Caenorhabditis elegans: one gene and its partner. The protein of the gene in region 1 interacts with the protein of each later gene in a pairwise test. Each region holds a gene or a part of one and is shown in the gene's direction. Other genes may lie near its edges.

Evidence for each region.
Region 2: the proteins of ZK938.1 (region 1) and tag-325 interact in a two-hybrid assay, tested with the Caenorhabditis elegans proteins (one large-scale study listed by BioGRID).

Annotation. Positions count from the first base shown.
Region 1 is NC_003280.10:9,827,634-9,831,288, forward strand, and holds ZK938.1 (Serine/threonine-protein phosphatase), read left to right. Parts: upstream 1-1,774; 5' UTR 1,775-1,858; coding exon 1,859-1,898; intron 1,899-1,951; coding exon 1,952-2,079; intron 2,080-2,154; coding exon 2,155-2,433; intron 2,434-2,480; coding exon 2,481-2,768; intron 2,769-2,814; coding exon 2,815-3,063; 3' UTR 3,064-3,121; downstream 3,122-3,655. Other genes in the region: eyg-1 (Homeobox domain-containing protein), read right to left, coding at 1-25, 78-184, 245-293.
Region 2 is NC_003281.10:4,795,289-4,802,838, forward strand, and holds the start of tag-325 (WW domain-containing protein tag-325), read left to right. Parts: upstream 1-1,550; 5' UTR 1,551-1,622; coding exon 1,623-1,718; intron 1,719-1,770; coding exon 1,771-1,919; intron 1,920-2,280; coding exon 2,281-2,455; intron 2,456-2,527; coding exon 2,528-2,946; intron 2,947-3,342; coding exon 3,343-3,817; intron 3,818-4,281; coding exon 4,282-4,497; intron 4,498-5,266; coding exon 5,267-5,376; intron 5,377-5,460; coding exon 5,461-5,639; intron 5,640-5,834; coding exon 5,835-5,961; intron 5,962-6,440; coding exon 6,441-6,622; intron 6,623-6,675; coding exon 6,676-6,929; intron 6,930-7,147; coding exon 7,148-7,288; 3' UTR 7,289-7,550.

The DNA of each region.
Region 1 (3,655 bases):
TTGCAACGACTTGTGGAGTAGCAACCTACAATTTTTATTTAAATCAAAAACAACTGTTTATCATAATAAAATCTCACCTTCGGTTTTGTTCCAGCACCGCCCGCGGCATTACTGTTGCCTGATGGTTTTCCGCCATCAGACTGCGAAGTTCGTCTTGTCATTTTGCCCATGGTGTTGTGAGCTCCTAAAAACAATTATTCCATTAAGATTTTTTTATATAATAACTTATAAAATTCAAACTTACCCCAAAAATGCAAAAGCTGCTCTTGAGATAGTGGTTGTTGAGCAGCCATAAAAATTTGTGTCGTGGTAAACCGTGAGTGAACCGTATCTAACCTTTAGCTTAGCTTATCCTCTTCAAAGACCCCGCCTACTTTTCTACAGTACCCCACATTGTGTTGAATATATGGCGGCATCATTAAAAGGGGCGGAGGAGTTGTGTAATGAAGTGTTGTACGGACAATATAATGCAGATTAACTGGTTAAGAAGGATGAGTGAGGTCAGAGTTATGATAGGTGCATCTGAGTCCATGTTGTCGAGCTGTATTCGATAATATCCAAAAATGTGAACTGTGAATGTGATACCGTATTTTCACTATCTCATTTGCATCTAATCGTTTAGGACTGGACCAGTTTTATAAAACATTATCAACTGGAAAAATTTGTACTTTTTCCTTATGGTTTTGTTTTTTTTCTGATCTCTGGAAAAATAACCGGGATATAAGTTGTCTAAATCTTTCCGCTGTTGATTTGATTTATTAGAATCATGCACGTAAGTTGATATGGCTCATGAAAGACGATCAAGTGAGCTCTATTTCTATAACCAAATTTAGTTTTAAACATATAATGTGAAAATCTTTATAAATTTGATAAATCCAAAGGAATGTGAGTTGTCTAAAAAGAGCAAAGGATGCCAGACACACAGAAACAATTTATCAGAAAAAAAAACAAGTAAAATAAAAAACTCAATTCTTTGTACTTTCCACATGTAAATTATTGCGCAATTCCTCTTAACCTTTGTCTAATGTACACATGAATGAGCTGTCCCGTGTCCCCTCAAAAGTGTGAAGTACCAGAGTGTGATCTGACAGGACACCGACAACACATCAACACAGAAAACACATAGAAGATATCAGATTTCAATCTGATCTATCTTCGGCGCGACAAGCAGCGACGATGGCTAACGGAATGAGCCAGCAGCACTTGACATTCATGTTCGTGTGCTAATCATCATTGTGCACATCCGGACCCACTTCAAAATTGGGTGTCGGTACAGGAAAATGAGAGCCGAAAAGGGATGCAGAAGTGGTCTTGTTGGATTTACATAACAATTATTGGACAATAAGGCAGGATAAAGGGCAGCTGCAAGACTGTTTGGGAGAATTAAGGAATGCTTTTTAATTTCAAAGTCTAGATTTGATGCCAACTATTTAAAAATGGAGTAGTGCGAATGGGGATTTTGATCTAAAAAGTAGCCAAAATTGAAAAAAAAAATCACGTTTATTTTAGTCGGATTTTTAGTGTTCTTAATTTTTTTCGTTTTTCTTTTGTGGTATTTGGTGGTACCTGAATTTCAGAAAGTTCTGGGTATCGTAAAAATCCCCCACATTCTAAAACGTGAAGCAAACAAAATATTCTGTTAAGTTGTCAGAAGATTTTTAAAAATAAATCAAAAAATCAAAACTTTTGCATATAGTCTAGTGTGACCCCTCCTCCCATCGAGTTGTTATCTTTGATAAGATCTTCCAACTCTTCAAAACAAGGACTTCGATTGAAAATAATTTATTCCCACTTTAACTAACCATCGCGGCATCTCGCATCTTCTACTCACTGCTAACAACACTAACCTACGCTCGAAATGGTCAACATTCCCAACTTTATCGATAAGGTTTTATCAGGTAAATTAATTTAGCAGATTTAAAGTTTCATACTGTAACGTTATAATTTTCAGTCAACGACACTTCTAACGCCTCTCTAACACATTGCATCAAAGAGGCAGATATTGATGGCGTCATCGAGGAATGTAAGGATATCCTCTCAGCGCAAGCGACAATGGTTGAGGTTCAGGCGCCGATTGCGGTACGTTGACTTTTGACTTTTTAGTAAAATAGAGAGTTATTCTTGAAGTTCCTGCCAGAATACGTGTACTTTCAGGTCTGTGGAGACATTCATGGGCAGTATACTGATCTTCTTCGAATCTTCAACAGATGCTCATTCCCGCCGGATCAAAACTACCTGTTCCTGGGCGACTACGTGGATCGAGGACGTCAACAACTTGAAGTCATTTGTCTCCTCATGGCATACAAAGTCAGGTATCCAAATGGGTTCTTTATACTCCGAGGAAACCACGAGTGTGCTTCAATCAACCGTACGTATGGATTTTACGATGAGTGTAAACGAAGATATTCTTTGGCTCTATACAATGAGTTCCAAGTAAGTTTTAGTGCGTTGCGGTATTCTGTCAAACCTCAGTATTTCAGAATTTGTTCAACAGTCTCCCATTGTGCGCAATGATCTCCGGACGAATCTTCTGCATGCATGGTGGATTGAGCCCGGAATTGGTTTCATGGACACAGCTTGCCAAAATCATACGCCCATTCGATCCACCAAACGCGTGCCTTGCAATGGATCTCCTTTGGGCAGATCCAGAGAACAACCATACCGGATGGGGAAAGAACTCACGCGGAGTTTCCTATATTTTTGGAGCCAACGTTGTAAAGGACTTCACGGAGAAGATGAATATCGATCTCATTGCTAGAGGCCATCAGGTATGATATCACTTAATAACTTTTGATAAACAATTTTCAATTTCAGGTTGTTCAAGATGGATACGAATTTTTCGCCGACAAACGCCTCGTGACAATCTTCTCTGCACCCAAATACTGTGGAGAATTCGACAACAATGCAGGAATTATGATTGTCGACGAACGGCTCATCATTTCCTTCGAGATCCTGAAGCCAGCCATGAGAGAAGTAAAAATTCAAGCTCGTGCAGCCGCCAAAAACAAGTCAACCAGAAGTATACTCGTGAGCAGCAGAGGACCGAAGTCTAAAAAAGGATAACTAACCATTTATGCAGCTATTGATTGATTCTAACGAAATAAATGTTTTAAACTTCACAGTGTACCAATGATGTTTACATATATGTATATTCATGTGTGGATAACAACATTTACTTTTAAATTTTAAAAGCTTAAAAGCTTTAGTCGAAATAAAATCAAAGGAAAGTGTGGAGAATTACAAACTGCCTTTGCCGATGCTTTTATTTCCTTCTGTTAAAACCTTTTCTGAGCGGGTCAGCAGTTAAATAGTTGGCCCATAACTTACGAACCGCTCACGCAGATGGACATTTAAATATTTTGTTGCAGTTTTGAAACGAGGGATTCATTTTGGAGCTCCCAGGTCTGAAACCCTCCCAATGTCAATGAGCTTCATCAGTTTTTATAAGGGCGTAGCAAGGATTCAGTTGTTATATTCAATTTTTGGTATTTGTTGTGCAAAACACAAAATCTCCTACGTTTTCCTATAGAGGATGCAATAGAAGTATGAACTTTGATCATGCTATAAGGTATTGGTAATTTGTATAAGTTTTCGAGTTGTCCATAATATAAATGTTTTAATTTTTGAACAGTAATGTGAACTTTCCACGAATAAA
Region 2 (7,550 bases), on another chromosome or scaffold:
TTACGTGCTTTAAAATATCCTGTTTATGTGTTTTTGTAAAATTATTTTTTAATTAGTTTTAATAGTAACATTGTTTTTTTTATATTTTGGATGCGAGTCATTCACGAATTTTACTATAAATTTTTTTTCCGGTGCATTCTATTCTTGTTTCGCATAATTAAGAAAAATGTGTTCTGAAACATGAAAAAATATTTGTTAGCTTAAATAGCGTGACCCCTTTAGATGCAAAATTGTAGAGTAGCTGTGAGAGCTCTTCCGACGGGCCACTCAAATAATTGAAAGCGAAATGCAGTTTCTCTTTTTCTCTTCCCCAATGCATTCAGTTTCCTATTTCTCTGCCATGTCAAGATTGGCATCAAACGATGTTCGAATATGGGGGAAAACTGGGGCGGTCGGCTTGTGCACACAGACAGACCCATAAAACATGAATTTATTATTCTACGCGCACGCAAAACGTGGCACTATAGAGACTAAGAAACTGCAGGAAATTCGTTTTGAAGATGAGATAACATCAACGAACGGTGTAAAACATAGAGACAAAAAGTGCTCTGGATAACGACGCGCTATATAAGATTGACCCTTAAGGGTAAAAGAATTCTTATCCAAAAATGTTCTCCAATATTGATTTTTAAGAGAATATTATATTTCTATGCTGTCTAGTGAATAGTTTTTCAATTTGGCACATTATTTAGTAAAATATGTTGAAATAATGAAACTATTTATTAAAACAAATTTTTGAAGTCTAAAAAGAGCCTTTTCACTAGCTAAACCAGTAAATACCTCTAGTCACGGCACTATCAGGTTTGTACAATGACTGTATTTCTTTAAATCGATTGTCGTCTGTTCGTGTGTCTGTATCTCCAATATTTAGCCCCAAGACACTGTCTCTAACCTCCCGAATGAGTGAGAGAACACACGGCGAGTTTTTTCTGTATCACTGTCTGCGTATCTTACTCTTCCATTCTGTGTTCTCTTTTCTCCAGTCGGGACAAGGGAAATACGACGGCCGGATGAGTCATCCCGTGTGTGCCTCCTTGTGATGGTTTTTTTGGTGCTTTTCTGTTGGAATTGTACAAAATTTTAAATTAAAACTGATTTATAAATAATTTCAGCTAATTTTGAAATTGGACAGCTGAAATGAAACAAAAAATCGGAAATTTTGCTTATCAATTCCGTTGGTTGATTAAAATATGTTTCATTTTAAAAATATTTCGTAAGATATTCTTATGGGTATAAAGTTACGAAATGTTCAGAAAGTCACGGAAATTCGAGAGAATCGATTCAAGTGGAAAGAAATGTATCAAGTTTCTTAGATATTTAGAATACTTAATTGTTGTCTTCTTCTCTTTTCGAACATTATTTAATTATCTTAACAACCTAATTATAATTTTTGTTTTCCCATTTCCGGATCAATCTGCTTTATTAAATATTTCGGTTTTGTTCTATAAACACTGTAAAAACAAAGTCAATGGTCACATGATCTTTCTCTTCTTTTCCTCTCCTTACCATGCTCTCCCTCTCCGAATATTTTAGCAATTCGTCCTTTTTGCAGTTCGTTATCATTCTCTTCAATGCCTCTCCGGTGGTGTTAAAAGTGATTTATTATCGATTTTGTTCGTCGGATGATGACCACCGCTGTTCAGCCGTCAGATACAACTGGATTCGGCGGAGGACCCGCTGGATCAAGAGCTTCGGATCTTATTCAGTTCCAAGAAATTGTTAGTTTTTCTCTCTCATCGAACGCGAGAAAAATAATTTTATTCATTACAGATGTCCGAATCGGCCGAATCCTCTTCGTCATCTAGTCAAACGAATGTTAGCGCCGCGAACACATTGCCACGTGAAAGTAATGGACAGAATTACGCTGACGATCCATCACATGTGTATACAAATATCAGAGAAATCGAAGAATTAAACAGGTACGGGAAATATCTGAAATGATTCAGGTTTAGTTATAATGTTTTGAAAAATTGGAATTAGTGTGCAAATCGTGGGTGAAGCATTTGAAAAAGAGGTCAAAAATGGTTTGAAACTTGCCAATCTCTGAAAAATTAAGTTCGATAATTGGTAAATGACAATTTCAGACTATGTTTAAGCACTTTTTCAAATTCTTTCGTCAAATTGAATTCTTATTTTCAATTATATCTATTATTTTTCCATATTTTCTCACTAATATTTATGAAAAAATGTTGGAACAACACCTGGAGCATTTTTTTAATCACTGATGATTATTTAATTTTCATTTTTGATTCTAAAATCATCATAAAACATTTTTAAAAGCTTCAGCCGACCGGTTCCACCGACTCCGCGAGCCGACGCGCAGCCCCGTAGAGATCTTCTAAATGGTTGGTTTGAATACGAGACCGACGTCGGACGGACATTTTTCTTCAATAAAGAAACTGGAAAAAGTCAATGGATTCCACCGAGGTTTATCAGAACACCCGCACAAGTTCAGGTATTATTTTTTACTTTTAAAAAATTAAAATCTGGTAAGATGTTATAATTTCATTCAGTTTTCAATTTTCAGGAATTTCTTCGTGCAACAAGAACGAATCTAGATACTACATGCAGTTTTCAAGGATCCTCGACATCTTCATCAGAAGAACAAAAAGAGAACAAAATGCGTGAATCTTTAGCTGATGACGACAGAAAAAGTCAATTGATAGAAGATGAAGAAGTGTTTGATGAAGTTTGCGATGACGTGGATGAACAATCATCACCTGTAATTGATCTTCAATCACGGCCTCTTCCAATTCCATTCTCTGACAGTTTTACGGATGATGAAGATGAAGATGATGTGAAACCTATAGAAGGATCCATAGCTTCAGATTCCGATTTTGACGAAGAACCTGTTCCAACATCATCAAGAAAAGCTTCTACAGCATCCGGAGTAATGATGCCACATCCCTATGCACATGTTTCTTCGTTTCAATCAACGTTTCCAAGGTTGGTTTTACAAAATTTGTAATAGTGGAGCAAAACGAAAAAAAAATCATTAAGTTTGAAACATGGCTAACTTTAGTGAATTTTCAGTTGTGCCTCATTTGAATTACCGCGCCTCGAAACTCCGCTAATTTTTCCGTTTTTCACTTCGATTTTCTCGACTGGTTCAGACAAAAATAATATTTTAGGCGAAACGTAACTGCCATTATAGGCATAAAACCTTCCTTTTCACTTGAAAATTCAAGGAAAATGAAGAACTTGCGGCAGTATTGAGAACTACAGATGCAAAAAAAGTTATCGGCATTTGAGATCAACCTGAGTATTTTTGAGTGAAATTCCCATCGACGCTACCCCTAAATTCAATAATGTTATATCCTATCACTAAAGTTACATTTTTAGGGCCAAAAATGAAGACACTGACAAATTGGCTTCGTATGTGATTCCCCCAGATGCCAATGAAACATCAAAAACTCCCACCGCAATCCGTGTCCGTCGTCCATCTCCGACGAACCTAAGATCGGTCTCATTTCAGAACAAATGTACAGTTCTAAAAAATGTTCCAATGCCACAAGTGCTGCCGACAACCTCATCAAGTTTCGATCACCATCCGCAATATCACTCTAATACGCCGGATCGGCCGATCCTTATGGAAGATTCTGCCGATTTTACACCATCATCACGATGTGAAGAACGTCGAGGTAGTGGTGATGGACGTGAACCTGTTCGAACGATTCGATGCGGTGATTTGGAAAGAAGTGAAAATGATGAACCAGCAGAGAAAGTTGTAAAGCCAAAAAAACGTGAATGGATCACGAACTACATGTATTTAACAACGGCTCATCTCATTTTGTATAAAGACCAAAAAAGTGCAGAGGTAGTTTTTTTTATGTTGTTGATAATTAACGCAGAAAAAAAGATTTAAGAAATTTTAACAAAATGTGCAGAGATGATGTATTATTGTCTGCTTTTTGGAAGTTTTTCTGAAAATGATCTGAAAATGTTTCATCCACCTCGGTCAAAAAATTGCACTCTTCTTCAGAAACTAAAAATTTCAAAAAGCTTCCGAAATGTTTGCTTATCTCTAAACAGCTTAAAAATGATCCGAAGTTTGCAAAAATCCACTTTTGGAACAACTCGACTGATCATAAAAGTAGTTGAAAAGTTTGTTGATAAAGTTCAGATGGTTCGAGTGGAGTTTTTGCAGCTTAAATATTTATATACATATATATCAGCTCAGCCTAAACATAATGTTTCAAATTGAAGTGCCATATTTTGTATATATTTATTTCCTTTCCTTGTCAGTAGATCAACCAATACCAAATAGTTGTCAACTTTCAGAAACACGGAAAACATTATGATGCTCCACAAGGAGTATGGGATTTACGAGGAGCAAGTGTGACATGGTATCAAGACAATCGGGATGTACAAAAGAAGAAACAACGGAAATATATTCAATTAGAGCTGTGTAACACGAAGAAATACCTGTTACGAGGTCCCAATGACACGGAAGCCGTCGAATGGTACAAGTCACTGGAAGAAGTTGTCGCAAAGCTTGTAAGATTTCTTTATTTGAAAATTATCCAGAAAATAGACAAAAAAAATCAAGTGTTTTTGTTTCATTTTTCTTTTTCTCCCGCCCTTGGCAGGTACAATTAAGAGATTATTCGGCTATAAGCTACTTTGCCAAGTTGTTTCCAACTTTCTCAAGACTGTAGAAATAAGAATTCACGGCCGAAGTTTTTCTCCGTCTATTATTGCAAAGTTTTTACTTGTTGTGTATTCTCAAAAAAGTACCATGTGGCATACTGCTTGCTCCAGAGTCCGAATGTTGAGCCTGCAACGGTCAAATAGTGAGGTGATTCATGGGAGAAAATTCTGAAAATCCTATTAAGCTGGATTTTCGCTTGAAAAATATCTAACCCGGTCTCAACACGACCGAAAATGCTGAAATGAAACAGTGTGTGCGCCTTTGATAATTACAGTAGTCCCGCTATTTTACCATTTTCCTGCCTTTTCGTCTAAAACCTTTTTTTCCTTTTTTTTTTGTGACACTAATCAAAAAATATTGAAATTATAAAAAATCTATCTAGGAAAATTAAATAAATCTTGCTGTTTTTCAATTTTCTTCGACTTATCTTTTTTTTTTTAATTGTGCATACAATTTCACACAATAAAAGGTTTTTTGAGAAAAACGAGAAAAATGGACTATTGTACTTCTTAAAGGCGCACAACTTTTTTCATTTAAACCTATTCGATCGCGTCGAGACCGTATACTGTTTTTTGCATCCGATTATAGATTTCAAGACTATGTATATCGTTTCAGCCGTCTCCTGGCTCTTCAAACCAACCGATGATTGATGTAACAAATGGCGTTGCTCGTAATCCGTCATACATTGGCAGCACGCGTCCACTTTCCCATGCATTAATTCCAATGTGAGTTTTTTTTTCAAAAAAAAAAAAATTGAATTCAAAATTCTGAGAGAACCATGTCTTATTGAAAATGTTTTGTTTTTTAAGAAGCCGAAGTATGCGACGACGTGATGATCCAATGTCACAATCTGCAATTGAAACGGTATCGACAAGTGTATCAACTGATGAACCAAGACCATCAAAAGAGACGATCATTGAGAAGTTGAGAAGATTCTTCCGAACACGCCCTACAGTGGAAAGTCTTAAAGAGAAGGGAATATATAAACGTAAGATTGGAAATATATGCAAACCAGCCGTGGACCGCACCTACGGCGCGGCCCCCGACTTTTTTTTTTGAGAAAATACAATTATCATAAGGTTTCCCAAATTTCCGTTGCTCTGTCAAAAATCAAACTACATAGTGACGGAACGACACGCGCTTTATATATAGTAAATTGATATTGAAATAAGAATCATTTCAGCTGAACCAGTATTCGGATCAACTCTTTCTGCAATCTGTCAACATGAAAACTCGTTGGTACCGAAGTTTATTAGAGTTATCACTGAAGTTATTGAGAGTAAAGGATTGGAGACAGATGGAATTTATCGGTTAGTTTATGAAATTGGAAAAAAATTACATGAAGTGTCGCCATTTTGTGAAAAAATGACCAAATGCCATAACAAAACACATCTAAAAATTTATTTACTATCAAAAGGGGTAGACCTAATAATTTTTTCCGAAAAACATTACCCAGATGCGAACTGTTTGCGTTGAAAAAACTTTTCCCGGTCTCGACACGATTTTTTAAAATTTAAATGATTGTGTGCCTTTAAAAAGTACTGTAATTTCCAACTCACAGTTGCTGCGGTTTTTCGATTAAAATTTATTTATTTGTATTCAAAAAAATTATGAAAAATCAACATCAAAATTACTGTATTTTTTAAAGGCACACTTTAAAAATTATAGTTTTGGAATATCTTTAAAAAATTTGAACTGTTACGAGAGTATTCTCTAACTGTATTTTCAGTTTTTTAAAGGATGACTACCAAATAAAAATAGCATTGAAACTTGAAATTTCTTATTTCAGAGTGAGTGGAAACCTGTCCGCAGTCCAAAAAATTCGATGTCAAGCTGATCAAGACAATTATAAAGCTCTTGTGTCTGAAGAAGATATTCATGTTCTTACTGGTGCTCTTAAACTCTTTTTCCGAGAGCTAACCGATCCACTTTTCCCAATTTCTCTTCATAAGGAATACACATCAGCTATGCGTAAGTTTTTTTTTTGAAGTTTTAAAATGTCCTAAACCAATTTTCTATTCCAGAAATGCCCAACGCGACCACTCGTTTCAAAAAATTCGAAGAACTTCTAAGTCGACTTCCAAACGAGAATCGTGAAACATTGAAAATGTTACTTCGTCATTTGAATCGTGTAGCCTCGCATTCATCACAAAATCGAATGCAACAACATAATCTTGCTATTGTTTTTGGTCCAACACTATTCCATAATGGTGATGGAGCCGTGAATTTGGCAACCAAAAATAAGAAAGCTGGAAAGAAGGCGAAACCTTCGAAAAAGGTTTGTAAAACTTCATTTATTGAGAATGGAGTGAAAAATCTTTAAAAAATTGATATAACATATCATTAAACAAATTTTGAAATTTTTTACAGTTATAATTGGTCATTACCGTTCATTTTCTATATTCACCAAATTATTTGTAATTTAAGTTATTGAAAATTGAGTCAAAACTCAAAAACCAACTGATATTCCTTGTTTAAAATACTTATAATTTCCAGGAAGAAACTCAAGCAACTCCTGTCCAATCGAATTCTCATCTCGCCTTCTCAATGATTATGCAATCCCAAATTGTTCAATATCTTCTCGAATCGGCCAACAAATTTGATATTCTCAAAGCTCCAGTCAATATTGGACGATAATCTATAGATTTTTCAAATTTTCCAAAAGAGTTGTGACCTTATTTCTCACCGTTTCACTTTGGGTGTTTTATCGCCGAAAAATGGGTATTACTTTTATCGTTTTCTCTTATTTTCTTTCTACTTTTTTTTCCTTGACTTTCGGGATTTGATCAATTAATGTTGTAAATATGTACTGTAATATTCATTTTCCTCAACACATTTTCAGTATGCTAGTCTTTTTTTTTCATCCGTTTACTTATTACAGTCTTCTCCTTTTACGCTT